Linked DNA regions of Mus musculus. The protein of the gene in region 3 purifies or fractionates together with the protein of the main gene of each other region. This does not show direct contact. Links are inferred from orthologs where the notes say so. Each region holds a gene or a part of one and is shown on either strand. Other genes may lie near its edges.

What was found.
Region 1: the proteins of Ralbp1 (region 3) and Ccdc6 purify together in Homo sapiens (affinity purification with mass spectrometry; 3 studies listed by BioGRID and IntAct, counting the BioPlex papers as one, with this or other methods). This does not show direct contact. The link is inferred for Mus musculus from reciprocal best matches to the Homo sapiens genes RALBP1 and CCDC6.
Region 2: the proteins of Ralbp1 (region 3) and Ap2m1 purify together in Homo sapiens (affinity purification with mass spectrometry; 3 studies listed by BioGRID and IntAct, counting the BioPlex papers as one, with this or other methods). This does not show direct contact. The link is inferred for Mus musculus from reciprocal best matches to the Homo sapiens genes RALBP1 and AP2M1.
Region 4: the proteins of Ralbp1 (region 3) and Reps2 purify together in Homo sapiens (affinity purification with mass spectrometry; 3 studies listed by BioGRID and IntAct, counting the BioPlex papers as one, with this or other methods). This does not show direct contact. The link is inferred for Mus musculus from reciprocal best matches to the Homo sapiens genes RALBP1 and REPS2.

What each region holds. Positions count from the first base shown.
Region 1 is NC_000076.6:70,093,407-70,101,311, reverse strand, and holds the start of Ccdc6 (coiled-coil domain-containing protein 6), read right to left. Parts: upstream 4,192-7,905; 5' UTR 4,013-4,191; coding exon 3,731-4,012; intron 1-3,730.
Region 2 is NC_000082.6:20,540,579-20,547,749, reverse strand, and holds the end of Ap2m1 (AP-2 complex subunit mu), read right to left. Parts: intron 6,943-7,171; coding exon 6,937-6,942; intron 6,776-6,936; coding exon 6,640-6,775; intron 6,541-6,639; coding exon 6,399-6,540; intron 6,004-6,398; coding exon 5,884-6,003; intron 5,795-5,883; coding exon 5,659-5,794; intron 5,554-5,658; coding exon 5,456-5,553; intron 5,112-5,455; coding exon 5,000-5,111; intron 4,440-4,999; coding exon 4,305-4,439; 3' UTR 2,841-4,304; downstream 1-2,840.
Region 3 is NC_000083.6:65,845,709-65,852,419, reverse strand, and holds the end of Ralbp1 (ralA-binding protein 1), read left to right. Parts: intron 1-176; coding exon 177-300; intron 301-2,224; coding exon 2,225-2,470; 3' UTR 2,471-4,005; downstream 4,006-6,711. UniProt on the Homo sapiens protein: Multifunctional protein that functions as a downstream effector of RALA and RALB. As a GTPase-activating protein/GAP can inactivate CDC42 and RAC1 by stimulating their GTPase activity.
Region 4 is NC_000086.7:162,638,485-162,646,322, forward strand, and holds the start of Reps2 (ralBP1-associated Eps domain-containing protein 2), read right to left. Parts: upstream 5,175-7,838; 5' UTR 5,024-5,174; coding exon 4,790-5,023; intron 1-4,789. UniProt on the Homo sapiens protein: Involved in ligand-dependent receptor mediated endocytosis of the EGF and insulin receptors as part of the Ral signaling pathway. By controlling growth factor receptors endocytosis may regulate cell survival.

The DNA.
Region 1 (7,905 bases), on a different chromosome or scaffold from region 3:
CAAATGAGCTGAAATCTTTTGTCTAGACAAATGGATGTGAATGCTTAAGGCAGATTTATTCACAACCGCTGGAACTTGCAAACAACTAAGATGCCCTTCAGTAGATAAATGGTCACAACCAAGCCCTAAAAAGAAACAAGCCACAAAAAAATAAATACTGTAGAGGGTCATTGGATAAGGTACCTGTTGTGTAAGCTTGAAGACCGGGTTCTCAGAACCCAAGGAAAATCCATCAAAACCTCGGTGGGCCTAGCATCCACTTGTAATCTCAGCCCTCGGAAGGTGGAAACAGAGAAACCCCTGAGCAAACTGGCCTGGCCAGCTGGCTAGACTAACCTAATCTGCAGGCTGTGGGGTCACGTGAGAGAGACCCTATCTCAATAAAGAAGAGACAAATCAAAGAACACAATCCCAGGCTTCCATAGATACGTATGCATGCCTGGTGTGAGCGTGTGCATGGGCGGGCACACATGCATACACACGCAAAAGAAAGAGGATGGGGAATCCTTCCATTCATTCTATCGAGTGTGTGACAGGGCAAACCTTTCCACACCCACAGGACATCCCCACTACAGTGAGGGAGGGCTCAGCAATGTCCAGGTCTTATGGGAGAGATGGCTCAGTAGTTAAGAGCACTGGCTGCTCTTCCAGAGGTCCTGAGTTCAATTCCCAGCAACCACATGGTGGCTCACAACCCTCTGTAATGGGATCCAATGCCCTCTTCTGGTGTGTCTCAAGAGAGTAACCATGTACTCACATATGTAAAACAAATAAATCTTTATTAAAAAAGGGGGGGGGCAGTGGTGGCACACGCCTTTAATCCCAGCACTTGGGAGGCAGAGGCAGGCGGATTTCTGAGTTCAAGGCCAGCTTGGTCTACAGAGTGAGTTCCAGGACAGGCAGGGCTACACAGAGAAACCCTGTCTTGAAAAACAAAAACAAAAACAAAACAACAACAAAAAAGAATATCCAACTCCAACAGTGAGCCCTAACGTAAACCACAGACTATGGGTACACGTGGGACCCTCAATTCTTAACAACTGCCCCACTCTGTTGCTCCGGAGGCTGGTGGTGGAGGGAGTTGTGCCTACAGAGGGTATAGGAAGCAGGTGGCAGAAACTATGCCGGTCTTTACCGTAAACCTCAACCGACTGGGGAAAATAGCCTACTCTTCAAGGGGGTCTCCACTACCCCACCCCATCAAGGTACAACTGAAAGTCAACAGGCCGTCCTTGTCGTATCTAAGTACAGCCTTCATCACCTTTACTGTACATCGTCAGGAAAATGATTGTCACAATTAGAAGCGCAAGAGCATAGAAAGCAAGAAATGGCTTGCCGTTACTCCCCTTCGTGTCAAATTAACTAAAACTCTGGAAACCTGCAGAGGCCTGCATGAGCTACCTAACCCTTGTCAGAGTCTTCCCAGTCAGGTGTGTCAGGCAGCGCACGGCTGGACGCTGGAGTGGACTCTCCTGGCTTAAGCCAATTCAGAGGGGGGACCCTGCCCCCAAATCTACATCTCAGGTGAACAGCTACATCTCAGGTGAACAGCCTCCTCAATCTCTTTCCTGCCCCTGACAATTAGCCCCTTAAACCCCTGCCAAGAGTGAGGTACTCAGGTGGGCCATGTGCTCTTTTATCTCCTTGAATACATTAGGGGAGAGAGAGAGAGAGAGAGAGAGAGAGAGAGAGAGAGAGAGAGGGAGAGGGAGAGGGAGAGGGAGACGGAGAGAGGGAGAGAGGGAGAGAGGGAGAGAGAAAGAAAGAAAACGAACTTTGAGGCCTGCCCCACACTTGCAAGTGGTCAGCTTGAATGACTTAACAACTTTACTGGCTAGGACTACAGAACAACTTCCTAGCACCATGGCTCTGACTGTAAGTTAGTGGTCGGTCACTGAGAGTGAGAGCCAAAGAACCAAAGCTTCCCCCACCTCATCCACTGTTAAGTACTCAGGAGGTGTCTGGCTTTGCTTGCCACTGACGAACATGCTTGTCCCTGCAAGGCCAGTTTGTCCCTGCAAGGCCAGTGTGTCTGTGTACAAGTAACAGACCTGCTTATGGGTCAGCAGGTCAAACAGATAACCTTTCATTGTGTTTCCTGTCTCCACACAAACAGCAGCCTGACCTGCTGCTCGGGCAAACAAGAGGCCAGAGAGGTGGTACCCCCTCCTCCTGTAAGTTCTGCTCCCTTCCGTGGTTCCAGCTCTGCAAGCGACCAACGCTGTCCTTTACGGCACATTTTAAATAGCGTTCCTGTGCATCAGATTTTAAATAAACAACAACCTCCAACTGTCCTGTCCCTCTGTTCTTCAACAGCAACTCTGCAGAGTCCTTTCTTAGCCCAGAAAAGGCTTACATGGTTACCTCCACAAACGGCTTTCCTTTACTATCAAAAGGCCAATCCAGTAACTTGCTGCCTGGAGATGTACTCGCATAGAACGGGACTGGTTAAGAGCAAGTAAGATGCTTTTCTGCAAGACCAACTGCTATTTAGGTTGCAAATCACACTGCCTCTCTAGTGGAGACTGAGACCGGCTAGCTACACAAACCAAGGCAGCCATATAGAAGCCACAGGGCACACACACACACACATATCACTTTTTCTTGGCACAAGGGCAGCTTAAATTTGTCCCGTTCTCGTCTCCAGGATATGATCCCTGACCCACCACCAAATCTCTTTTTCTCCACTGGAAGGGTTTCATCTAATCAGCTGTGTGCAAGCGGCTCTGGCAATTTATCCTCCTTGATTCCTTGACATTTTCTTTCCGTGCTGCTGGCTGGGAAACTGTTTTGATCTGAATAGGGTTGTCTGTGGGGGATTCTGCATGTTAATGATGTAGAGTTGGCAAGGATGGGAGGTGAGAGCACAACGCGTACTTTTTCTAGTTACGTTTCGCCTCATCACCGCTACGGGGGCCTTTCCACTCGGCTACACCAGGAGGCTGATCTCAGACTAATCTTACCCTCTTCCAGGGGAGCCTCGAGGGGCCAGGTAGAAACAGAACAGATGGCCTGTGTTCCCGTCAAGTACCTAGACTCACAGGCAAGTACTCCTAAGACTCTCGAACCAATGAAGGAGACGCACGTACATCCTTGCTCAGCCAGGCAGTCCCAGCGGCCACCCTCCATCCTGGTTTCAAGCTCCAACCCTGTCCCAGCCAGCGCCAGACGTTACACTCCCCACTACTCTGTACCCGCCCACCCTCCGGGCCCAAAAGGACAGTGATTCCGAACGGGGTGCTGGTGTAGCCTCAGTGCCCGCCCTTCCCTTTCCATCCTGGCCAGAAAACTCCACTTCCCGGATTCCGGGCCACTCTCTCCCTCCCCCAGCGCCGGCGATCCAGCAAAGCGCCGTCCTCCTGCCAACTGGGGACCCAGCCCAGTGGCACACCCCGTCTCCCCAACTAACCCCTGGACAGACCCCAGCTTCGTCCACTCACGGGGGCTCCGGAGAGGGTGTCCCTCTATTCGGAGCCTTCAGGCACCCTAGGGTTGAGAAAGTCCCACCCCGCCCCCCCCCCAGCCACGCCGCCAGCCTCTAGCCCTGGCTCGGAGGGACCTCCACCCTAGGCGACGAGGGGACGTTGGGGAGTCTCCCTAGGCACCTCCAACACCTCAAGGGAGGGAGGGCGCTCGTGGCCCCAAGGCCCGCTCTCTGTGCCCGCAGGCCCGCAACCCCGCACGGGGGCGCGCACTCGGGGGTCCCCCCTGGTCCGCGGGGTGCACTCACGATGGTCACGCTGGCTTTGCGCAGGTCGCGGTTCTCCTCCTGCAGCGCCTTGCACTTGAGTTTGTAGGTCTCCAGCTCTATCTTGAGCACCTTGTTCTCCTGCTGCAGCGAGGCCAGGCGGTTGGTGAGCTCCTCCAGGCGGAACGGCGAGATGACAATGCCCCCCGACTTCCCGCCGCCGCCCCCGCCGCTGCCGCCCGAGGTCGCCGAGCAGGACGACTGCATGGCTGCCGGGCCGCCGCCCGCCGCGTCCGTGTCGCTCTCGCTCGCGCTGTCCGCCATGGCTGGGCGAGTGGGCGCGGGGAGCCGGGCGCCGAGGGCCGGGCGCGCGGCGAGTGGGCGCGCGGCGAGTGGGCGCGGGGCCGGGCGCGCGGCGGCGGCGGGGGAGCTGGGGAGCGGGGGAGCTCAGAGCGCGGCGCGGGCGGGCGGCAGGGCGCAGACGCGCGGCGGCGGCGGCGGAGAAAGAGAGGGCGCTTCCCGCGGCCGCGCGAGCTGCTCCGCCAGGGAACAGAGACCCCGCCCGGACTCGGGCAGTACTGCAGCGCCGGGACTCTGGCGCGCTCCGCGGGGCCGTCCCCGCAAAGCCCCAGCCCCAGCGCTCTCCTAGCAGCTGCACACAGACGCTCGAGCCCCCGCCGCCTCCCCGCGCACGTGCTCCCGCCCCGGAGGGTCCCCTGCGTCCCCGGGCCCCAGCCCCCCAACACACACACATACACCGCCGCGCCGCGCCGCCTCTTCCGGAGAAAGGCGGACCCCACGCAGCGCCAGCCCCGCAGGTGCCGGGACACGTGGGAGGGGCAGCCGGGCTCCTTGGGCCACCCCACCCTCCCACCCCCGCTCAGCTGGAGCCTGGCACCTTGGATCGGCGCCGGCGCGCGTGGATCTCCCCCAGGGTGCCCCGTGCAGACCGCGCTTGGGGCTGGGAACAGAAAGTTGCACTGCAGTGGGTCGAAAAAGAAGAGTATCTGTGTGTCTGTCTGTGTGTCTGTGTATCTATTTCTCTCCCTCTCTGTGTGTCTGTCTGTGTTGTGGCATGTCGGCAGCCACAGGTTAGCCTAGCTTGCCACAAGGCCCCGGTGCGTCCAGTTGTTTGAACCAGGCGCCACCCACCTTTTTCTCTTTACCTCCTGCAAAGACTCTGCACCGGTCACGGGGATAGGATTAAGAAACCAAGATTTGTCTAGTTAAAGAAACGGGAGCTTTATTTAATTTTTTTTTTTTTTTAATCTCAGAAGGGTTGAAACAAACTTCAAGTACCAATTTTCCAAAGTAACTGCAGGCACAATGCTAAACAAATAACCACGATTAAGTGAGGGGAACTGTATAACCATTATTATCCGCTGCTCTCCAACTCCTACAAAACTCCAGGAGCTAAAAAATAAAACCGTAATTACTACTGTAGAGAGCCCAGCTTCAAAGAATCAGAAATTCAAATACTGTTAGGCCCCTCCCTCTTAGGAGAGCTTGCTTGTAGGAAACAGGCCTAGCAGGTGAGAAGGGTCTAAACACTTCACCTCCTGATACAAAACAGCTTTCGTTTCTGGGGGAAAAAATGGAAAGTGAAACTAACCAGGCGGGCTTTATTATCCAAGTTTAGTCGACGGAAGAACAAACTCATGGAAACAAAATGCAAAATAAAGGGGTGCGGGATGAAAAGTGTTTTCTGGCTGTCAACTGTTTTATAGTTTTATAAAGCGCTTAGCCATGACTACATGGCTTTCCTGGCTCATAACCTTGTCTTTAAACCAAATTGGATCCAGTGGTTAGACATGTTTCGTCCCCACTGCTAAATAGGAACTGGTCTCACCTCGGAATAACTCTTAACCTGCCAGGGGTGAAACCTTGACCTCAGGTTTACCAAGATGGCTGCCTCTAGTCAACAACCCAGACATGCTAACTTCGGTGAGCCCTCCCACCCCCCAAGACGTCTCCTAGGTAGGCTTGAGTTTAGAGCTAGGAACACAGTCGGTGAAGCAAAATGTAACAATAAAAGTTAAAAATCCAGGGGAGTGCAGGAGAGCCTTTGGCTTTGCTCTCCAGCAGCAGAGCACCAGTGTAAATAATCCTCTGCTGAGGGAGCCACTTTGTCACTGAAGTTTACTTGGCTCCTTGACTTTTGCCATGTTGGGTCTGGGACAGGAGACACTCGGCTCCTTCGGTTACAGGACGCTTCTGGAAAAGCAGCTCGCGGGGTGAGATGGATGGGGTAAGGGGAGCACTGCCCGGGACTGGGGTTTAACTGCATTCTTTCCGCTTTATTCAGGGCAGTCTGGGGTGGGCGTGGCTTCCATACTTCACAAGTTTCTATTGTTCTTTTCTCACCCCACCTCCAGATTGCGGGGTTTGGAGGGCTTACAGCCCTTGGAGCATTCTCTCGGGAGTGAGGGGTGGGGACTAGCTCTCTCCGGTTTATCCCTAAAACTTACTGCCTTGGGAAGCCGACCTGCAGGCTTCCAGTCGGCAGAGGGGTGGAGTTTGAAGTGCCTGGTTTTCTTAAAGGGCCCGTGTCAGGCTAAGCTTGAGAACATCTTGGTCTTCCTTAGGGGAACTACAGTTTTGGCATGGTATCTGTAGTTAATCATCGGCTTGAGAAGATATTAGGAGAAAATTCTCATCTTCTCAAGCTTCCCTGCTGATACAGATGAGAATAAATTGGAGGATTCTTCTCCCCCATCCTGGTTTTTATTGTTACTGCAGAACAGAAGCTTACCTAATTTTCTACTTCTTGTAGAACTGATTCCCCTCATAAACAGACGATTTGTCACGACGCTGGTTCTGTAATAGCATTACAATGGAAACACCAGATACAAAACAGATCGGATCATTGTAAAAAACTCCTCAGCGTTCCAGGGGAAATGAATCAGAAGGTAGGTGGAAGGCTGAGTCCCCTGCAGGAAGAAGGGGCAAGGGAAGATGAGCGCCTCCCGTTGCAGAAATAATGAAATCACCATCACCCTGAGCTTAAGTCACCAGGTTTATGGATAAAGGAAAGGGTGCCTTGCAGTTGAGGCTCGAGGGGACATCTAAATCTTTGTTTCTCAAATACAAACATGTTGTATTTTTATGTGCTGGGTACCCTTTAAACCTAATGTTCTCAGTGCAAACATAAAAATAGTGGTGTAAATCCTAGTATATTTTTGTTGCTTAATTGTAATGATTGTGTATGTATGTCTCTCTTTCTATATATATGTGTGTGTGTATGTATGTATATATGTATGTATACACACACACAACATACACAAATACACATATGTATGTATATACACACACGGTGATCACCATACACCACTGGAGTCTTAAACAGGCTTGAGGTGAACCAGATGTAGGCTGGCCAGAGGTGGAAAGTATCCCATGAAGCAGTGCATTCAAGAAAGATAGTTCACACCATTTAGCCTGTGTCTGGCCCCTGGGTCTGGAAGGGGGATCTGGACATTGTCTACTTCAACCCTTGAGGCTAGAGAGGTTTGGGGTGTTTTTGTTTTTGTTTTGTTTCTGTCAGAGTGAGCTGTAGTGCACCTGCCTCTGTCCTGCCTGCTCCATGCCAACCAAAAACTGTCTCCAAACATTGCCAAGACTGCCTTCCCCCAACCCCACACCCACCACAAAAACAGCTGTTCTACTAGAGATAGAAGAAACCCAAAATGATAGAAGTGTTGCTGTAAAGGACTTCCTGCTAGATTTACTTAGGAGATATTAAGTCACACACGTGGAATTTAGCTTCTGGAGTACTGACTCCAAAATACCCCAGCTCTAAGTAGGGTGCTAACCAGGCTTGTTAGATAAGGAAAATTGAGCATGCTAGGATGTAAACATTTGTTCCCCAAGATTGACCTCCACTTAGTCTCCACTCCTATAACCGCAGGAGATAACCCTGGCTTACTAGCCATTAGGCCCATTCCCATTGCAAAGAGCATCCTCTGAGGGTCAGCTTAAGGGGTCAGCACAGGGCCACAGCCACCACGAAGCCCACTCTGCCATTGAGTCCCCTATGCTCATATCAGGAAAAGCTTAATTCTGCCAAGTGGGCAAGAAGACCCTAGGAAATGACTCTTGGAAAAGAACAACGTCGGTGTACTTAAGAAATAATACTGGCAGGACCTCTGCTGTGTAAAGAAATCTCCCATCTGTGTCAGTAGCTAGATGAGCTTACCCCTGTTGTTCTTCTATTGTTCAAC
Region 2 (7,171 bases), on a different chromosome or scaffold from region 3:
AGCATTATTGCAATGGGGAGCTGCCAGTCTTGGTGTTAAAGTTTAAAAAAGCTATCAGCATGCCTGAGGTTATAGATTAGTTGGTAAAATGCTTGTCTACCCTGAGGCTTTGTGTTTGATCCCCGGTACCTCATAAAACTGGGTGCGGTGCATGCCAATAACTCCAACATTCAGGAGGCAGGGATAGAATGATCAAGAATTCAAGGTTGCTGGACTTAGATGGAACCAGCCTTTAATCCCGGCACTCAGGAGGCAGAAAAAGGCAGATCTCTGAGTTCAAGGCCACCCTGATCTACAGAATTCCAGGACAACTAGGGTTAAAGAGAAAAACCTAAGGAGAAAAAAAAAAAAAAATCAAGGTCACCCCACTGCTACAAAATGAGTTCCAGGCCATTCTGGGGCCATTTGAAACCTTGTTTCAATTCTCTGGTCTCAGTAAGCTACTGAGTACTCAATTCTCTGGTCTCAGTAAGCTACTGAGTACACCCATATGTGTATAATACATTTAGGAGACTAGGGCAGGCAATTTGGGAGTTCGAGGCCATTCTGGACTGTACTAACTTCCGCATAAACAAAACAGCAATTGAACCTCTAGATCTAATAACCAGTTTACAGTAAATTCAGGCCAGGGGCTGGAGAAAGGACTCTGAGAAGTGCTTGTTCTGTTCTCAGCATTAAGACCTGAGTTTGATCCCTTGTACCCAAGTAAAGTCAGATGTATCTGTAAGTCACTGTGGTCTATTTTCTGTATAAAATGTACTTAGGCGCTTCCAGTTTACTTTAGAGTTGAGACATTAGTAGCTATGCAACTGAGCCAATGTATCAGGAAATCAGAGAGGGTTCTCCAGCCCCAGGAGGATACAGGGTTTGGGGTGGAGACAATGGTAGAAAAACAACGGGAAAGACTGAAACTCTCTGGAATATCAGGGGAAAAAAGGGCAGGATTTTTTTTTTTTTTAAATATAGATCAGAGACTCTAAAAACATTGGTTGTGCCAAATCATAGGGCCAGCCAGGCCTTTCTGCCTGTTTCCCAGGCTGCTTTATGTTAGTTATTCTGTCTCCAGTCCTGAGACGTGAGGCACATCTTTACTCCCACACCCTAAACCCCAGTGCTGGTAGGCAAGGTAAGATCACCAGGACTTAGGAGCTGGTCCGCTGAGCAAAATCATTTTTCCAGGGCCAGTGAGATACTGTCTTGAAACTAGAGGCAGTTGAAGAATACACTCAACACGAACATCTGACCTCTATCTGTACACACACACACACACACACACACACACACACACACCATTGAAACCTAGAGGCTGGAGACAGATGGTTCAGCAGTTAAGAACACTTGCTGCTCTTTCAAGGGATTGGTGTGTGGTTCTCAGCATTCAAATGACTGCTCACAACTCTCTGCAACTCCACTTCCAGGGGAACCCGATGCCCCTGTGGCATTGGGGAGTTCTCTGCATACATGTGATGCAGGTAAATCCCTCAGGCATTAAATGAAGATAAAATTAACCAAACACGGTTCTTCTGGCAGGCCATACGGCAGGCATCAAGATGGCACACGCTGCTAAGGCTGTTTCCTACACTTTTACAAAGTTCTTTTGTAGTTCAGGTTCCCCTCCAGACTCTTGCTCTGAGGCCATCCTGAAGAAGATGCTCTGTCCTCACTTTCCGGTTCCCCTTATGAAAATGAACCTTGGAAATACCTGGATTCACAATACCAGAACAGCTATGGCTCTCGCCCTGCTTGGGCTGACTACTGCTGCAACCACAAACGCTTGCCGCCAGTGCTGCTGGGAATCCTTGCCCCATCTGCCGGCATCACAAGTTTCACGTTGACTTTAGGATGTGAAGCTCTTGAAGAGTTTGTGCCCACACTGGTATCATCTTCCATGCCTCATACACAGGGGGTCTGTATGAAGCGGCACAAGACGCTGACCCAGGCCATCCAGAAAGCCAGGGAGTGTGGTCTTCTCAGTTGCTACCTTCTCCAGGTTGAGACCCGAGATGCTGACTTTCCTACTATACATCGAACTGTCAGTGTGACTCCATCAGCCACCACCCCACCCCACCCCCACACTGCTGTCAGGTGAACCTTGGTACCCGTGGTACAGCTGGCAACAGCCACGGAGAGAGAACTGACTCTATCAAGGAAATCTCCTAGAAGAAAGTGCCCCCCCCCCCACCTGAGTCAATGCCTGAGATGCTCAAGACACCACCAGCAGAAGCCTCCACCGAGGAGACCGACCTGGGAAGTCAGACTAAGGGAGTGCAGTCTAGGGCTATGTGGTGTCATGTGTTCTGCAAAGGGTTGTTTTGTGACAGTGGCAGACCCTAAAGGGAATTGACTGGTATGAAGAGGCCAAGCACATTTGAAGTTGAAGAGGGACTAGATGTATATGGGTAACTTTGGAGAGGGCTTACATATGAACTGGAGACTCTTGTGTGTGTGCTAGATCGTGTATCCCTATTTTAAACTCTCTGGCTCAGCTTTTATACAATAACGCTGTGCCTCCTCAAAAGGAAAATAAAACACCAAACCAAGCCAGTCCCCCCTCACCACCCCCCAAAAAAAAGCACAATTAGGGGCTGGAGAAATAGCTCAGTGGTTACGAGCATGCACTTTTCTTACAGAGAACCAAGTCTAGTTCTTAGCACCTACATCAGGTAACTATGAGTTGCCTATAATCCCAGATGCAGGGGATCTGACATCATGGCTGGATCCCGATGCAATCACATTGAGTCCTTTGCGTTAACACATACTAGCGTTGGCCATGAATTGACTGATGTTGAAGCTGGTGACAGGACATGGGGATTAGCTATATTCTTTTTTTTTTTTTTTAAGATTTATTTGTTTTATGTATATGAGTACACCATAGCTGTCTTCAGACACTCCAGAAGAGGGCGTCAGATCACATTGCAGATGGTTGTGAGCCACCATGTGGGTGCTGGGAATTGAACTCAGGACCTCTGGAAGAGCAGTCAGTGCTCTTAACCACTGAGCCATCTCTCCAGCCTCGATTAGCTATATTCTTATGCTTTAAATTTACTCTAGTTTTTGTTTGTTTGTTTAAAAAAGCTGAAACCTCATAAGGTCCAACTGGTGAGGGCAACCCTATTCTTTATTTATTCTAACATACAAGATCTTTGGGACAATCAATCCCCTTAGGAACTCTGGAAGAATGGAGGTTTTTGCCAGGGTTTGATAAGATGCATGGGGAAAATATCTTTCCTGCAAGAACTAATACAAGATCTTGGAGAGATGGCTCAGCAGTTAAAGAGCACTGACTGTTCTTCCAGAGGTCCTGAGTTCATTTTCCAGCAGCCACATAGTGGCTCACAACCACCTCTAAAGGGATCTGATGCCCTCTTTTGGTGTGTCTGAAAACAGCTACAGTGTACTGATATAAATCCTTAAAAAAACAAAACAAAACAAAACTAATACAAATCTTGCCTCTTTGTACTAACTGGGAAACCTGCACACTTACAACACTGCACTTGAGAGATGGAGGCGGGAGGACCCTGAGTCCAGCCACCTCAGCTCACACAATGAAACCCATCTCAAAGCACATATCTGCAGTATCAGCACTTGAGAAGCAGAGGCACAGGGATCACCTAAAATTTACGGGCAGTCTGGTCTACATAGTGATTTCTAGGTCAGCCAGAGCTACAAGCAGCAAGACCCAAACAAAACAAAGTCTGGCATGGTGGTGTACACTTTAATCTCAGCACTCAGGAAGTAGATCTCCTGAGCCTACACACAGGTTCCAGGACAGCCAGAACTGCATGGAGTAATAATAGTCCCGTCAGACCCTCTGCGGGCCCCATTAACATTTAGCCAGCAACTCCACTCTATTGTTTATTGGGTTTGTAACTGGACAAAGTCACACGTGTACAAAACGAAGCTCATACTATCCCAAAGCAGAGTGGGGACTAAAGACTGGGGATCTGTTACTGGCCTTTGGGGAAGCTCTGAGGTGAGGGGTAGTCAACCTTCCCACTGCAGAGGTGTGGCCACAGGGGTAGAGAGAAGAGGAGAGCACCTGGCTTTGGTCACAAAACTCAGGGCCTGGCGCTAAGCCAGGACAGACAGACGGAAGAGAAGCCTCAAAAACCACCCTCCCAGGAAGCCAGGCACTACCTGACCAGTTCCACTGTGGTGTGGCTGGTTCAGACTTATACTCAGGGGCTATTGGAAAGGAAAGGCAGCAGAGCAGGACGGAGGAACGACACTGGTGAGTGGTCACTAGGGGTACTTGGACCTGTGGGAAGGGTGGGTAGGGAGGTGGGCCAGCTGCAACTAGGCAGCTAGCAGCGGGTTTCATAAATGCCACTGCGGCCAATGTATCGCACCCATTTGATGACATCATGGTCGCTGTAGTTCAGCTTCGGTTCGAATACCTTCAAGTAGCGCACCTTGAGGCCAGAAGGCGCGAATGGCACCTGAGCAGAGGACAGCTCCAGTTAGGAATATGGCCCTTCTATCACAGTACTCTGGCAAATTCCATGGTTCACCCACCCTATCTACCACAGGTGTTCTTGAATGACTGGTGTGGAGGGAATTCACTAGGAGACTACCACGTGAAGAGAGTTACTAGGAATCAGGACACATCTGAAGCTGAGCCCAGTTGTGAGGATAAAACTATTGCTCTAATCCTTAGGTTGCCAGAGCACTATCTCTGAACTACTTATCCCAGAGAACTACCACTGAACATACTTATCCCTGCCAATGCTGTGGACTTGAAAATAAAGTGGAGAAAATGATGTGTCTTATTCACACAAAGCAAATGTTTCTCAAAAACTATTTTGTGACAAATCAAATAGTCAAAAGCTTTTGGTCAGTTTAAACACCAATTTCTATTAAAAGGGGATGGGTCTATCAATTCAAGACATTTCCCAACCTAGGCCCAGTTCTCTTATTCCTAAGAAGTAGAGTCTAATCAAAATGATCAGAGAGTCTCCCATCACACCCAGCCATTGCGCTATACCCCTCCTCTGCCTACCTCAAAGTTCATGGAAATGGGGGGCCGAGCCCATTTCTTCTTATCGTTGGTGGGCAGGAGCTCAATCTCTGCGCTGATCTGGGATTCCTTCATGCCTGCCATGCGCTTGATCCTAGGAACACAGAGGGAATGGGCAGCAGGAGGCTGCAGTAGTTACTCCTTCAGTACCCGGAGCTGCAGTTTCTCCCTCACCCAGACTGTACGCTTTAGACACAAGTCGACAAGGGCCAACGGGAATATCTTGAAAACTAGACACACGTGCTCCTCAAGTGCATGAGAGATGGAGCACACACACACACACACACACACACACACAAACACACACACACACACACAGGCTCCTGGACAAGCATGCACTCTTTTCTCACCCTATAACCCACACAGAGGACAGGTCAAACTTAACCGGAAGGTACACTATGACGCCTTGAGCCTGCCTGTGGCCTCCTGAAGACTCACTTCCATACAATGGCGTTCTCGCTGGCCTTGTACTTGGCCTTCCCCTTCATGCAGATCACCTGTACCCCGCTTGTGTTCAATGGAGTCGGGATCCTCACCTAGGAGTGACACACCCGTCAGTGAGCTCTGGGGAGACCTGGATCATCTATCTGCCTTTTCTTCCCCGAGATAGGTGTTTCACTCTCCAAGTCTCCAGTCCTCACCTCAATCTTCTGGGCCAGAAGTGAGGGCTTGAAGTTGGACTTGATGACCACCTTGACCTCCAGTTTGGTGCGCCCCACCTCCCGCACCAATGGGATCACCCGGAAAGGAAGGATGATGTCCTTGGTAGTACGGTATCTTTGGAGGAGAGAACACATGTGATAGCACAGGGCCAGCCCTACTCTCTTCCAGATGCACCCCCTGCCTCCTCCACACCCCCATGGCACCTCATGAGTTCAAACTCTCCGTCGGGAGGGATGAAGCTGATGCTCCGCTCAGAGTCAAACTTGCTGAGTCGCACACACTGGTGGAAGGTGCAGTCATCAATGGCGATCGACTGCTTACCACTGTAAACGGAAGCAGAGCTCAAATAGGTACATGTCAGATTAACAGACCATGCCAGAGCAGGCTAGCCACACAGATTATGGGAAGCTTCCAGAACACAGCTTTCTGACTTGGAAATCCCTGCCCTGCAGTTTGAGGTGTGGGAGAGCCTCTGGGTTCCTTATCACCTGAGAACTTTGTTGCTGGGGATCAAACAAAAAAAGCGTGCTCTCCAAGGACAAAGACAGTCCCTCCATGCCTTATCGTCAATCACAAGACTAACTGGCCAAGGATGACTTGGAAAGACAGTTAACAATTCCAGAAATGAACTCCAAAGGGAATCTGGGTTCACTAGGCCTCACTGGATTCTCAAAGGCTTGCTCATCCTTGTGTCCCTTGAGCTCCCAGACACCGGTACCTCTTGCTTGTTTCATCAGCTGTGCCTTTGCCCTGCTTTTCTATGACAATCTTGTCATTCATTCCAAACTTGCACTCAGGCATGCCACTCAGGTAACTCTTCATCACCACCCGGCCTGACACATGGGCACTCAGCACCTGCCCTGGTGACAGAACAGAGAAACAGGGAGCAGCTGAGCCACGCCGACAGGCCAGGACCTACCCACCCCCAATCCCCGGTCTCATCATGAGAAGACACTTACCCTGTGGGGACATAAGCAGGTTCACACTCTCCAGAACATCTAGGAAGAGTTCATTCCGGCGATACTTGATGCCTTCTCGCCGCCAGCCAATCTGCCCGGTCACCTGGCTGGTGATCTGGGACTGTTCTTCCTTCGTCTATATGGGATAAAGGTGGCCAATGACCTCATCCCTTTCCCCGTCCCATTACCCTCTGCCCACTGTATCACGTCACTCTCCCTCCTTCCTCACAACCCTTACAGGGCAGGATCTGCAGAACAGAGTGAAGCTGCAGTGGGAGAAGTGAGGGAACAACTTACCTGATGCTAGAAGCCGCAGAGCCAGCAAGGGGCCAACACAACAGGAAGCAGCATGGTAAGCAAACAAAGGGAGAAAGCGATAAGGCTCAAGTCTGAGAGGAGAGCCCACGTGCTTTTCTGAGGAACACAAGGCCTGAAGAGCAGACACACCCCTGTCCCCCGTGTAGAAGAAACCAACTGAGCTGTATTCCTGGTAATAGAGATGCTGAGTTGGCAGCTTCTGGGGTAGGAGAGC
Region 3 (6,711 bases):
CCCACAGGTTGAGAACCACTGTTTTAGACATTCCTGGAAAGAACTGGGTTTCTGAAATCAGTCACTTTAAGCTCCTTACTGGGTCTTAGGCAGCACTGGGTCAGGTCGATGCTCAGGCGTGGGTGGGTCTTAGCCGGCCTCGGAGTTCACTGTAGTGCTGCCTCGTCTCCACACAGCCGTCAGCAGCATGGCCGCAGTGAGACGGAGGAGTACTCGTCCGACAGCGAGAGTGAGAGCGAGGACGAGGAGGAGCTGCAGCTCATCCTGGAGGACCTGCAGCGGCAGAACGAGGAGTTAGAAGTGAGTGGGGGACAGCCTCCAGAGGGTCTTGGGACCACAAACCACCTATTTTCTCACTGGAAACTTACGGTGGAGAGGAATTCAAGAACACTTGTTTTTTAAGATTTACTTTATTTAGATTTATTTTATGTATATGAGAAGTACACTGCAGCAGTCTTCAGACACCACAAGAGGGCATCAGATCCCATTACAGATGGTCACAAGCCACCGTGTGGTTGCTGAGAATTGAACTCAGGACCTCTGGAAGAGCAGTCACTGCTCTTAACCGCTGAGCCATCTCTCCAGCCCTCAAGGGCATTGTTAGCAGGATGAAATGTGTGCTCTAGGCTGTCTGGAGTGGGGCGTTTTCCCCTGACCTTGGTTACAAGTGAGCCTAAAAGAGGTGAGAGGCGCCTGGCCACTGTCCTAAGTCGCCTTGCAGTGGCTTTCTTGTAGTCTGTGGGGTACCACAGAGGAGTGGGTGTGACAGGATGCCTAGGAAGCTGGACTGAGAGGGAGATGCTGGCCTAAGCGGGGTTCTCTTTTCATCCTGAATAAACATTGTCTTCTGTAAGGACGACTAGGTAAACAGACACCTTTGCTTCATTCATGTTCACTGAACTGCCTGCCAGGCAAGTGCGCATGGGGTCAAGCACAGAGGCTGGGCGCGGTGGCTCAGGAGGCAAAGAGGGGCATTTCTGAGTTGGAGGCCAGTTTGGTCTACAGAGTGAGTCCAGGACAGTTGGGGCTTGAAAAACAACAGAAAGATAGAAAAACTACTGTGGCTGGAAAGATGGCTGAGCAGTTAGGAGCACTGGCTGTTCTTCCAGAAGACCCAGGTTCATTTCCTAGCACCCACATGGCAGCTCTTAACTGTCTAACTCTGGTTCTAAGGGACTCAACACACTCACACAGACATAAATAAAAATAATATTTTAAGGATTGCCCAGGACTCTGCTATCCACTGTGTGATAGGATCCAGGGACATGGCCCCACTGGTGAAGGGGCTGCAGTGAGGCTGAGGCCCGGAGTTAAAGCCAACTCCCTTCACGTGCACACACCTGTGTCACACACGCACCTGTACCCCTTAAGGGATCCCTGCACTCAGGAGGCAGAGGCGCACAGAGCTCTGAGTTTGAGGCCAGCCTGGTCTACAGAGTTGAGACCTTGTTTTGGAAAACATAAGAAAGGAAGTTAGTGTGAGTGAGACGGGTTGCTGGGAATTCTGGCATTTAGAAGACACATTGGCAACCTGGTTTGATCTCCATTTTCCTGAACAGGAACAAATGGCAGAATCGGGAGTGTTCTGTTGTGCACGTGGCGTAGGGCCTGCTCGAGCCAAAGCGGCTCCCCTGCATCTCGCCGTGTTCTCAGTTGGGGAGGGACGGGTCAGGGCTTCCCCAGTGTCACACCGAGCGAGCAGTGGGACTGGCACCTCTGCTCACCTCACTGAACCAAAGTCGAGTTGTGGGCACAGCTGCTTAGGATGCGGGGAAATCCCGAGGAAGAAGGGTGTTCCGATGGCTGGGGCGGTTGCAGGAGCTCGGGGTGAGCTACCCGTGAGTTCCTGCTGAATGAGTGAGTCCCCAGCATTTAAGCAGCTGTGGTTCCCACACTCCTCAAGGAGCACAATTCAGATGTGGTCAGTAAAGAGAGACTTTGACTTGGGAAGAGTCTCAGCTTTTACCCAGCCCTGGCCCCTGTCCTCACTGCTCTGGTGACACATCGTTTCCTAAATGTGTTTCTCTTTGTAACTCAGAGTCCATACTCAGGCATTCAGAGTGATGCTTGTACCCTAGCCACATATCCATCTTCTTATCTAATGCTGCACCAGCCAGGCTGGCTAGAATAGAACTAGATCTTTCTCAGGATGGCTTGCAGCCTGTGCTCTGCCTAGATTCCTTGTGCCCTTAAGTGGTAACTGCCCTTTCTGTCATTCTTTAAGATAAAGAACAATCACTTGAACCAAGCAGTCCATGAGGAGCGGGAGGCCATCATCGAGCTCCGAGTGCAGCTCCGGCTGCTCCAGATGCAGCGAGCCAAGTCTGAGCAGCAGCCGCAGGAGGAGGAGGAGCCCGAGAGGCGAGGGGGCATAGGCCCACCGCCCTGTGACGGTGTCCTCGAGGTGCGGGTAGCCAAGGAGCAGGCGAAGGCCTCGCCCAGCAAAGACCGGAAGGAGACGCCCATCTGAGCTGCGGGCCGGGCCCTGTGCATCTTACTGTGAGTGTGAGTGAGCCGCCTGCCTGCTGGACACTCTGTAAAGGCTCGCTCTCAGAGACGTCCCCTCTCACACACGTCTGACTCCGTGTCAGGCTCAGGGCCTGGGAGGCTGAAGCAGTGGACACACGGGGGGCTTGCAGGGAACACAGGCATTTCCAGATAGTGTCAGCTTATTTGAAAAATAATTTTCTTTGTTAAAAATAACTATTTTAACCTTTGAGTGGCTTCTTTTTAAACCAAAAATTCTTTTCTTTGGCTTTTTTTTTTTAAATCACAGCAGAATCAGGCTCTCTTTCTTATCAAAGGGTAGGAACCAAATCAGGTCACTTCTGCGCCTGCCTCGTGGACGCTCGTGGTCTCCCCAGCCCTGCAGGGTCTCTGGCCACTCTTGTTTGTGCCTTCCACACCTTTTGGTGCAGATTGTTCAGTGGGGAGCTGCCTCATATTCTCTGACTGGCCAGAAAGGCTCTCGCTGGGGTTCCCTGCACCACGTTGCTTTTCCACTTCCGAGTTGGGTCTGTCTGTGTGAGTCAGGACGGCCCAGGTTGGTGGCAGACAGAAGTTACCTGTGCAGCCTGCCACCAGCCTGGGCAGTGCAAGCCACTCACTCACTGCCAGGGATCAGCAAAGGCCTCTTCTCTGAGGTGGTCGGAGGTGACCACCTTGACTCTGAGGCGTTGCACAGGAAGCTTCTCAAACCAGAGCCCTTCTCCACACTGACCTTCCAAGAAAACCACAGTGACTTCAGCTGCTAGCTTGGGCTAGGATACACACCTCTGCCAGGATAAGCCATGTAAATGCTCTCACGCAGAACGTTCACCTTTCCGCGTCATCTCAAGGGGCTGCTATAAGGACTCTGACAGAACCGAGCCGAACCGGTAGCTGTGACTGACCCCACCTGGTGTTTGCTTCTAACTCAGATGACTGCTCCCCGAGTCTGGGAGGCCTGCCTCTTAGGCAGCCAGATCTCACTGTCAGATGAGTGGCCCCCAGGGAGGTCCCCTGTGGCTCTGAAGACAAATCCCACACTCTAAAGTGAGCGACAAACCCACAGGAGGGCTCTGGTCTCCTCCTAGTTAGTATTTATTTCAGCGCCTGTCTTTTGTGCGGTTTTTTGTTCGCCTCTGCCTATTGCACTGTTGTGACTTGTTGGCCATTATTTGATTTTTGTACGGAAAAAAAGCTTTGTTATAGAAATCAGCATACTATTTTTTTAAATCTGGAGAGAAGATATTATGGTGACTGGAAATATGGTCAGGTGTCAAATATAAATGTACAAACGCCTTGCTGCATCCCGTCCGGTGTACAACATCCACTTTATATTTGCTGGCAATATTGAAGAATTCTTTTTGTTTGTGTAAACTCTAATTTCTATCAAGGTATCATGGGTTTTTAAAATTAGTATTTCATTACAAATGTCTCGATGTTGGTTAACTAATTTTTGCCAGGACCATTATTGATCAAGGAAATAAATTCAACAGCCATTTGAGAAAAAAAAAAAAAAAAGGCTTCTATTGTCCACTCTTCTCTTTGAAATAATTGCATAGCCAGCATCTGGCACGAAGCTGGTGGAGATGCCCAAGGTGGAGAGCGAGTGGGAAGCCTTATTCCACCTCGCTCCTCGCCCATGCTGTGTGTGTGCTCCTGCTGTGGTCTCTTGGCCCTCTGCCCACCGTGCTTGCTGCTGACTGGGAGGGTTTGCTCAGACTGTGTGCAGTTCCTGAACCTGACAGTTTCCTGGTGCTGTTGGGAAAGCAAGCTCTGCCTTCTAGGTCAAGTCCAGAAGGCTTGGCCCAGTTGTTAGAGGTTACAGAGGTTTGCATTTTACATGTGAAATGAGGACTTAGAGCAGCTAGCATGCTAGAGATGTATGACAAACATCTGAATCTGTAGCTAGTAGTTTAACTGCACCACAGAATTTATGTTGCTTTACAGAAGGTTCCAGGTACCCTGCTGTGACATCTTAACTTCAGGCAGGGATCTGGAAATGAGGGCCCGAAGAGGATCAGCTCCCAAGCGGGGACTCATGGCTCTCACCGTGCTCTTCTCTGTAGGCGGCTCTGTACTGAACAACACCGGGCATGAAGTCCTGGGTATAGACCCTGGTGTCTATGTACAGAGCCAGGAGTGCTGGGAGCACCTGTAATTCTACCCTGGTGGAAATGAGGATCCTGTAAATGCTAGTTAGCTGCTCTAGGGGAGTCAGTGTGCTCTGCGTTCAGAGGCCAGCCCTGTCTCCAAAAGTAAAGCATAGTGATAGAGGACACAGATATCAGCTTTCTCATTTCACATGCCATGTGTGCTCATGCAGGCCTGTACACACACACACACACACACACACACACACACACACACACACACACAATATATACCCTGGCTGGTGACACACACACACACACGCACACACACACACAATATATACCCTGGCTGGTGACACACACACACACACACACACACACACACACACACACAATATACCCTGGCTGGTGACACACACACACACACACACACACACACACAATATATACCCTGGCTGGTGACACACACACACACACAATATATACCCTGGCTGGTGACACACACACACACACACACACACACACACACACACACACAATATATATACCCTGGCTGGTGACACACACACACACACACACACACACACAATATATACCCTGGCTGGTGACACACACACACACACACACACACACACACAATATCACACACACACACACAATATCACACACACACACACACACACACACACAATATATACCCTGGCTGGTGACACACACACACACACGCACACACACACACACAATATATACCCTGGCTGGTGAATCCAGCTGAAGACTGGGCTTTCTGGAACCTTCCTCCAGGTCGTTTTGCTAATGTTTTATTCGTCTGAGTATGATCTAAGCTTAGTTGATATTCTTCAGTAGAAACAAATCAAAGACCCCTATCAACTAGGTAGAGAGATTGTGATAAGATTACACATTTGTAAGATGATGCATAATTAGTAAATGGTTCTATACTGGACTTCAGGAGACCCAGGAAGTAAGGACCAAGTAGCAGGGTCCTTAAATTCCCATATACAGGCTCCCTCTGCAGAGCAGTAAGGTGCTGCTGCTGTGTCCACGTCCCCCACTGCCCAATTCCAGCCTGGATGCTTGTCCCCTCTAATCTGGAGTTTTGCCACCATTCAATTAGTACGACCCATGAAAAGTTGTTCTAGTTTGACAGAGGAAAGAGGAATAGCTTCATTTGCAGTGAGCTGTAGTTAATTTTTAAAACTGCTTCACGTCTGCTCAGTACCATGTCCTCTGGTGATGTCTTCAGCAAGGTGCAGGCTCCTGCCTCTCTTCAGGTGTGTATGTACTTCAGGCGAAGGGGCCCTGGGTGTCTGGTAGTGTTGGGGCTTGGGCTTCTCAACTGTGAGAAACGGCTTTCAGGGAGGCACAGGAAATACATAGCTTGCATGCTTCACCCCCAGTAAGCAATTTTATCCTGTAGGGCTTCATTTCTCATTGACAAAACAAAAATCCTCATTTCAAAAAGGAAGGTTTATTAGATTTAATCCCTAGTGTAGGGCTTTAAGGCATAGACGTTTCCTGAGGACATAATCTGCATATTGTCATGAAGCGCCAGGGCACAGGCAAGACTGCATCAACAGTTTATTTTGTGTGTTACTGTATGTCTGTTGTATGTCTATTGTAGGTAAGTCTATTACTGTATGTATGGTGTGTGGAGGCCAGAGGCTGACATTGGGTGTCTTTTCTTGATTGTTAATTAGTATTAAATATCTTTTTACATAGTAAATATATCTTATTTTTATGGGATTTCATATATAACATACTTTGATCCTATCACCTCATCCCTCTGTGTGTCTGTCCTTTTGTCGGTTTAAGAAGAGACTGTCAGACAGATGTCTTAGTCCTCTGGCTTAGACTATCCTCTTCCCCCGCTCCTGCTCACCAGCCTTCAGTGTACAAATCGTATTGCAGATATATTGATTGGATCAAACACCTCAGTCCATCTCTGCATATCACCAGCTGTGGCTTTCTGTAATCTCTGCCTGCTGCAAAAAAGAAGCTTTTGACAATCTGTGGTTATGGGGATGAGTTTAGAATGACCCTGGTGAGGGAAGTGGCTGCAGGCCATCTGGGCTCCAGGTCCTCATCAGGCATACGTGGTACCTGGCTGAGTTCATAG
Region 4 (7,838 bases), on a different chromosome or scaffold from region 3:
GGAAGAGAGGAAGAGAAGAGAAGAGAAGAGAAGAGAAGAGAAGAGAAGAGAAGAGAAGAGAAGAGATCCCAACTGGTCAACCCTAAACACATGTACATAAGAGCACCATTAAATGGATTCAGTAATGTATGTGTATGTGTCTGTGCATGCATGAATTTGAATTTTTGGAAACTGTGTTATCAACTTTGGAAAAAACTACCCCAGTTTGCAATGTTGAGTTGGCATTGCACAGAAACTAACAGCCATACTGATTTAGAAATGTTAAATTTGGTTTTTTTCTTTAACATTTGTATACTGTATTAAATATATAAGGTCTTATCTGTGTGGATTTGATTACAAAAGCTAATAGAATATTCTCTAGCAGAAAAACTTAGTAAGATTAAAAGACGGGGCTGGTGAGATGGCTCAGTGGGTAAGACCACCCGACTGCTCTTCCGAAGGTCCAGAGTTCAAATCCCAGCAACCACATGGTGGCTCACAACTATCTGTAACAAGATCTGACGCCCTCTTCTGGTGTGTAAGTACATGTAATAAATAAATCTTTAAAAAAAAAAAAACCTGTCTCAAAAAACCAAAAAATAAATAAATAAATAAATAAATAAATAAGATTAAAAGACCACTGAAAAACACTCACTAATGACAGTGTGCATTGTATGTGAATAGAATGAGGTATTTTTGATGTTCATGTGTTTGGAACAATCCTTAGTCATGTTACATTGTCCATAAATCAAGAAGGTCACCTACTTTCCTTTGGCATAAAGATTTCCACAATATCATGATGACTCACTGTCAGCGTGGGTAATAAAGTTTTCAAAAGGAAGCAAACAAACTGACGGGACATATGTCAACAAGGACAAATTCCAAAAAAAATATAACAATGAGAGGAAAAACAAGTTGTAGAAGGTGATGTAGAATACAATGTCTTATTTTAAACTAAAATAACGTGTAAAAATGTTTTGTTTTAGTGACATTTATATATATATATAACAAAAGTAGAAAATAATCTTTAAAAGTCGTGTATGCTGAAGTATTGTCTCACTATGCAGATCAAATAGGCTTCAAACTTGCTATCCTCCTGCCTCAGCTTCCCTAGAACTGGGATTTTAGGCATGCCTCCCACTGCACCATACTTCAAACATCCTTTTAAGTAGACAGTGTCTTGAATGTGGTACTTACTGTATCTGCTGGTATCTATTCACTTTTAGAAAGATAAACTTGGCAGGTTGTATCCCCAGGACCTGGGAAGTAGAGGGAGGACTGGGGGAGTTTAAAGTGGTCTTCATCTACTTGGGGAGTTTGAGACTGGCCCGGGCTACATAAGACCTTGTCTCAAAAAAACAAAACAAAACAAAACCACCATTCATTTCTACAACACACCCTCATGCCTAGCACTTGGAGATCATTATAGAAGAGGGAGTAGGAAGACTGTAAGAGCCAGAGGGTCAGGGAGTTTGCTGTGAGATTGTCTCGCCTAGGACTGCCTGGGGTGCCTAAACTCTATACAAAGAACAACAGCAACTAAGAGATTCTGAGAGTGGGAGAAACAGCATTCCCCAGAGAAGAGCATATCAACTATATCCAATATCCAATACCAAATGGTCAGCCCTGAAAACATATACATACAAGTAACATTATACAGACCGAGAGGGTTAGATTTAGGAAGATATATGTATATACATATATGTGAATATACATGTAACAACAATGAATTTCAAAAGAGGCCATAAATTTAAGTGAGAGCAAGGAATAATATATGTGAGGGTTTGAAAGTGGGAAAAGGAAGGGGAAATAATGTAAAAGAGAAAAAAGGAGAAATTATATTATCTCCAAAGGAAAAACTATTTAAAATTTAAATAAATAGTTCTGGCTAATAATCTCATAACAGGAAAAAGTTTTCCTGATAAGGATTTTGTTGATTTCCTTTTACCTGTGGATCTCCTTAATGATTAAGCAGTTTTATTTTGAACATATTTTTAATTTTCAAATAAGTAGCACTTGGGAGATAGTGGCAGGAGTTCAAGGTCAACTTTTGCTACATAGAGAGTTTGAGGCCAGCTTGAGCCACGAGGGAACCTAAATTGAAATTTTTAATGACTTCTCAAAGATAAGCCTGTGTCCAGAGATGTTAAAATCTTCCTATGGAGCTAAAGAGTCGGCTCAGCATTTAAGAGCACTTGCTGCCCCTGCAGAGAACCAGAGTTCAATTCCCAGCACTCACATGGCAGCTCACAACTGTTGGTAACTGCAGATCCCAGGAATCTGATGCCCTTTCTCTGACCTTGGTGCATACCAGGCATACACAGGAAAAACTCTTATATGTATAAAATAATAAATAAATCTAAAATAAAATAAAATAAACCTACTTCTCACAGCCAGGACGTGCTTCTTTGCCTTAATCTATTATCTGACAATCAGATGTTACTAACTGGGATTCTTCCCGATTTAAAGGTTTCTCCTGATAGTACATGTTAAACAATATTTATAACCTATCTTGATGTCTAAGGATGGCCTATCATTGGATCTCTGTGAGTTATTAGATAATAATCATCATTTTAAGACAAAGTCTCATTTACCCAGACTGACCTCAAATTAGCTATGTTGCTGAGCGTGACCTTGAACTTGTGACCTTGTTGCCTCTACCTCCAGAGTGCTGAGATTATAGGTATGTGCCACCATGTCCGATTTTGTGCAGTGATGGGGACTGAATCCAGTCTTTCATGCATGCTAGGCAAGCACTCTACCAACTGTGCTAAATCCCCAGCCCTACATTACAGTCATCTTAATCGTATGCTTATTAAGAGGAAAATCTGGCCATTAACCATAGAAACTACCAGGTCTGGTTACTGTCTCCATGATTTGAGCAGTTATACCTGTTGGGCCACTTACATCTGAACTTACAGGTTTCGGTTTAGAAGGGAAAGGGGGAAGTTTTCTACATTTGTTTTAAAATCGCTAGTATACTAATGAATTAAAACAAATGAAGTCAGACAGGGCACACACACATCACCAAAGTGGTAGATAAAAGTTAGATAGCCACTAGATCCCAGTTTTGACTACCCTTCCCAGTTCAGGGTGACTTTAAATGTTAATTGTTACCTGTACCAAGAGTAATGGGCCATTCTAACTTGTTATGTTAAAAGGGCTGTGTTTTATTTCTCTGGGCTGAGTACCTTTGGTTCTTTTTAAATTATATGTTCTTCAAGAAAGCATCAGTTATCACACTAGAAAGATCCCCTCTCCAATTCCTGGGAAAACCTCAACCAATTTTCATACACCCTTTTCTTTTATCACACTTGATGTATTACTGTCCACAAATTAATCCCGGCCAGATGTACAGCACAACTATTTGGTGCATTGCCTCGGACACTTTAGTAAATTTATTATGCTCAGCAGTATTCTGAGGTCCTTGTAATAGTTTCTTTCAGAACACCAACTTCCTTATCACCCCGTGCAACTCAACTGCTTAGCAACTGTGGCAGAACTATCTTCTTATCACAGAATTCTACAGGAACAAACAGCCATGCTAAATTCTATGAATACTAATCATGTTCAGAAATCCTCAATTCGAAAGGTGAACCAAGTGGCTAAAATTATGCTCATAAACATAGGAGCATCTATGTATACCCCAGCAGTATAAAACAGTCTTGAGTGCCAGAAAGAAGGAAAGAAAGAAAGAAAGAAAGAAAGAAAGAAAGAAAGAAAGAAAGAAAGCGGGCCTCACAAAGGCAGAGAAAGATATGATAAGTGAACCATAAAACCGTCAGTACTTCCTAGGAACTACATTTTAAAGCATTTGCTCACCACTGTAAATATTCCATTGTTGCTAATAACTTTCACACTATTGCTTTTTAAGTATAGGTTCACATTTAGGGCTTGATATTAACAATATGATCCCCATTTACTGCTGGTAACATCAACCGACAGACAAAGGGCTTCCCAAGCAATTTCTCCAAGCCTCGAGGAAAGCACAAAACAGCACCTGCAGTGAATCACTCCTCCCTCCTTTCCAGGTACGGGGCAGACAGACAGAAGCTATGACACCGTCTGTTTCGTAACTCCACGTCAAAGTCAAGTGACAATAAGATGACAAACTACAGCTGTAGACTTCTGAATCCACCCCTGGACCCAAATGGGGAACTTACTTTGAACTTGATCAATGTTCCTATCTTGTAGCCCTGAGTCCCTGTTCTACAATTGGGCTTTAAGGTTTTCCAGTTCTATACTAATAATCAGAAATACATTAGTGAACAAATCTATGTAGCAGATATGTACATATCACAAGTATAAAGGACAACATGTAGCTGTAGGCCCAGAGCCTACAGACACACATGTACACACCCTTCAAGTTCAAATCCCAACAAGGCACCCCGAGAGTGTAGTCAACAAAGGGAGGGGCAGGAGCAAGGAACAGAGGTTAAAGCAAACAGCAGCCAAAACAAACATCACTTTCGGAACAGGGCAAACTTTGGGTCTGGGAGATTGTAGAACCCCCAGATATGATAGGGGTGTCAGACTTTCTCAAGAGACGAAGAGCACAGCCAAGCACTAGGCTAGGAGCAGATGAGCTGCAGAGGAGGCTGGTGTCCCTGGGGACAAGGGCGTCGCCGCCATCCTCGGCAAGAGAGCACCCCCCTTTTTTTTTTTTTTTTTTTTTTTTTTTTTTTGCGGTCCTGGCCACCGCCCTCCAGATCTCCGGGAATAGTCCCTGGGAATAGTCGTTGTTGCCCCATTCTTCCCATAGACACTGCCCCCACAGACCAGAGAGGGATAAAAGAGCGCAGAGACATACCTGGTGCAATGTCTCTGGTGGCAGCTGCGACGCTCGAAACAGATCAGCTACTGGACCAGCGGCCGCAGTGGCAGTGCCGGGGGCGACCCTGGTAGCCTCGGGGGGACCAGGTCCGGGGCCCCCGCTTGCAGCGCCCGCACAGCGCGCGAAGAGCTCAGAGTAGCACTGCTGCTCGCTATCGCTCAGCAGCAAAGGCGGCCCGGCGCCGCAGCCTCCGCCCGCTGCCACTTCCATAGGGCCTTCTGTAGCGTCCGAACCGACCGCCTTCCCTGGCCGAGGTGCTGGTGCTGCCGCCAGGGCCACCACCGCCGCCTCGGCCTCCGAAGCCGCCGCCCCCACGCCCCGCAGCTGCAGCGCCGCCGCTTCCTCCAAGAGAGCGCCGGCCCCGCCCCCTCCGGGCTTGAATGTTGTGCCTCCTCTGCGCGGCACATGGAGACAGGCGCGGCGCTGACCAATCACAGCCCGAAATCCCACCTGGGCCCCTCCCCGAAAGCCCGCCCCGCTCCGCCCCTTCGCCAGGTAAGGAACGCAACTCTGGCTGCCGCCCTCCCAAGCCTTTCACCTGCTCTGCAAGGGAGGCCAGGCAGAGAGAGCTGCTGCCAACGCCCACCTAGCCCACCGTGTTCCTGAGGGGCATCTTGGGCTCTCCACCCTGGCTAAGAAGGGAACATCTGGACACACACACAAGAAAAAGAGTTTTTCAGGGGATGGGGAAAACTGAGATGTTGTCTCATTAGGAGTCCCATAGGGATGTGGTGTCCAATTAGAAAAAGGACCAGTCACAAAAAGTTGGATTTCCCTTCCTCCTATGTCCTGAAAAGCTAAAAAAAAAAAAAAAAAAAAACAACCAAACAAACAAAAACAAAGATGTGAATGGGGTCCCAGCAGCACCCCAGAGATGATGGGGTTTGGCCACTTTCTCAGGTATGGCTGGGATCTGGATTTGAACCTTACTGAGAAGTGCCAGAAGGTATTTCTTGAAGAAGGTACTTCAGAAGGTCCTTGAGAAAGAAGTGGGAAGAGGCGTTTTGGGGTTTTGTTTGTTTGTTTGTTTTTCAGATATGAGGTCCATTATGCTCCACTGCTTGACTGAAATCTGGGAAACAGTTGGTGAGAGACACTATCTGGAAAATTTATGCTTCTTAAGTCCTGAAAGTACTGACCTCTGTAACACAGAGTCCTCACTTTCTGGAAGGATTTTTTTATTTTCTTATTTTTTTTTTTTTAGACAAGGTCTTTTCTTAAGACATCTGGCTCAGAAAACACTTCTTTTGGCAGGAAAACAACAGTTTTTTACATTTTGTCCAAAATTTATTTGTCCAAGTTCCTACCAAAAAAGTCAACACTGGAACTCAGAACTTTAAAACCCAGTGTGCGTGTGCGTGTGCGTGTGCGTGTGTGTGTGTGTGTGTGTGTGTGTGTGTGTGTGTGTGTGTGTTCAAATGGGCTTCTTCCCTGATGGCTATTGCTCTAGCCAAAAGTGTGGTGGTTCTTGTTTGTAACCTTAACACTAGGAGGCTGGGGCAGGGGAATGACCAAAATTTTGAATCTACTCTAGCTACACTGTGAATTACAAGCTAGCCTGCAAAAAAAAGGGGGGGGGATCCACAAATAATATACTAGAAGAAAAACGTCTGCCCCACAACAGTGTTGAAAATGTCAGTTATAAGTCTTGTATATTTGCATTTTTTCCAAAAGAAAAATCTGTTTTTTATTTTTTAGGGCAGGGTCTCTCTACATAGCCCTGGCTGTCCTAGAACTCTCTGTGGCCTCAAACCATGCTGACCTCAAACTCATGGAGATCTGCCTGTTTCTGCCTCCCGAGTGCTGGGATAAAAGACATGTGCCACCACACTGGGTTCCAAAAGAAAAATCTTAAGTGCCATTGTTCTTGAGAAGAGTTGCACAAATGTAACCATTGTACATGCATGCCTCATGCCAAAACACTAACCAAAAAGGGGAAACCTCTTTGTGATTAAACACTAATTAAAGGACCTGTTAGACCTAGACCTGGTGTCACATACCTTTGTAAACCCAGAACTCACGATGCAGAGGCCAAAGGATCTCTGTGAGTTTGAGACCAGCCTGGGCTACTGAGTCTCATGCCAGCCAGGGCTACATAGTGATAAAAGAGGGATAAAAGAATATGTGTGTATTAAGAATATATATATATTCCATCCCAAACAGTTTTTTATTAAAAGCGTGAAGCAGTCAGATGTAGCAAATACCTGTAATCCTGCCACTCCAGAGACAGAGACCACTCCAGAGAAGACCCATTGCAAGAACAGTAACAACACAAAAAAGCAAAAGCCGAAAACAAGTCAAAAATACTATCAAGGATAACAAGCACACTTTGATATTATAGTCAACTAAAATAAGGACCAATGGAAGGAAGAGAAAAGAATGAAGAAGTCAAAAGATGGAAAAGCAGACAAGGAAAAGGGAAGAAAGAGATGTACAAAAGAAAAAAGAAACGTGTCAACCTCAATTATAGCCAGAGTTATACTTCCCTTTTGGACTCTGGAGAAATAAAATATAGACGATTCATGGTGGAGGTATGACTCAGTAGCACAGCATTTGCTCAGCATGTGCCAAACACAAGTCTGTCCTCCAGTACCAGAGAAGAAAAAGTAAAGATTCAGCCCAAGCATGTTAGCAGCTAAGTGCACGTGAACGTGTAGACAAGCTCCGATGCACTGTCTGGTTTTTTTTTTCTGCTTGTAAAATTTCATAAGACTTTAGCAAGAACGTTGAACAAAGCCAGAGGCATTCTTGTTATCTTTATAATGCAAACTGATCAAGTCCAAAAGAGTTGCCTGTTTTTTGTAGCTTTCTGAACACTGGCTAAATGACCATAAGCTAAGTACAACCAGAAATGTGTGTCTTCTCCTTGAACTAGCACCTTAAACTGAGCATGCTCAGAAATGTGCCTGCCCATAAAGGGTTTTCATATATGTATGTGTGTCCACTCCTGGAATAAAATCCCCATGCTTCCTTTGTTCACTAAGGTACTGTTTCGGACATAACTCATCTTACCCAGTAAAGTTAT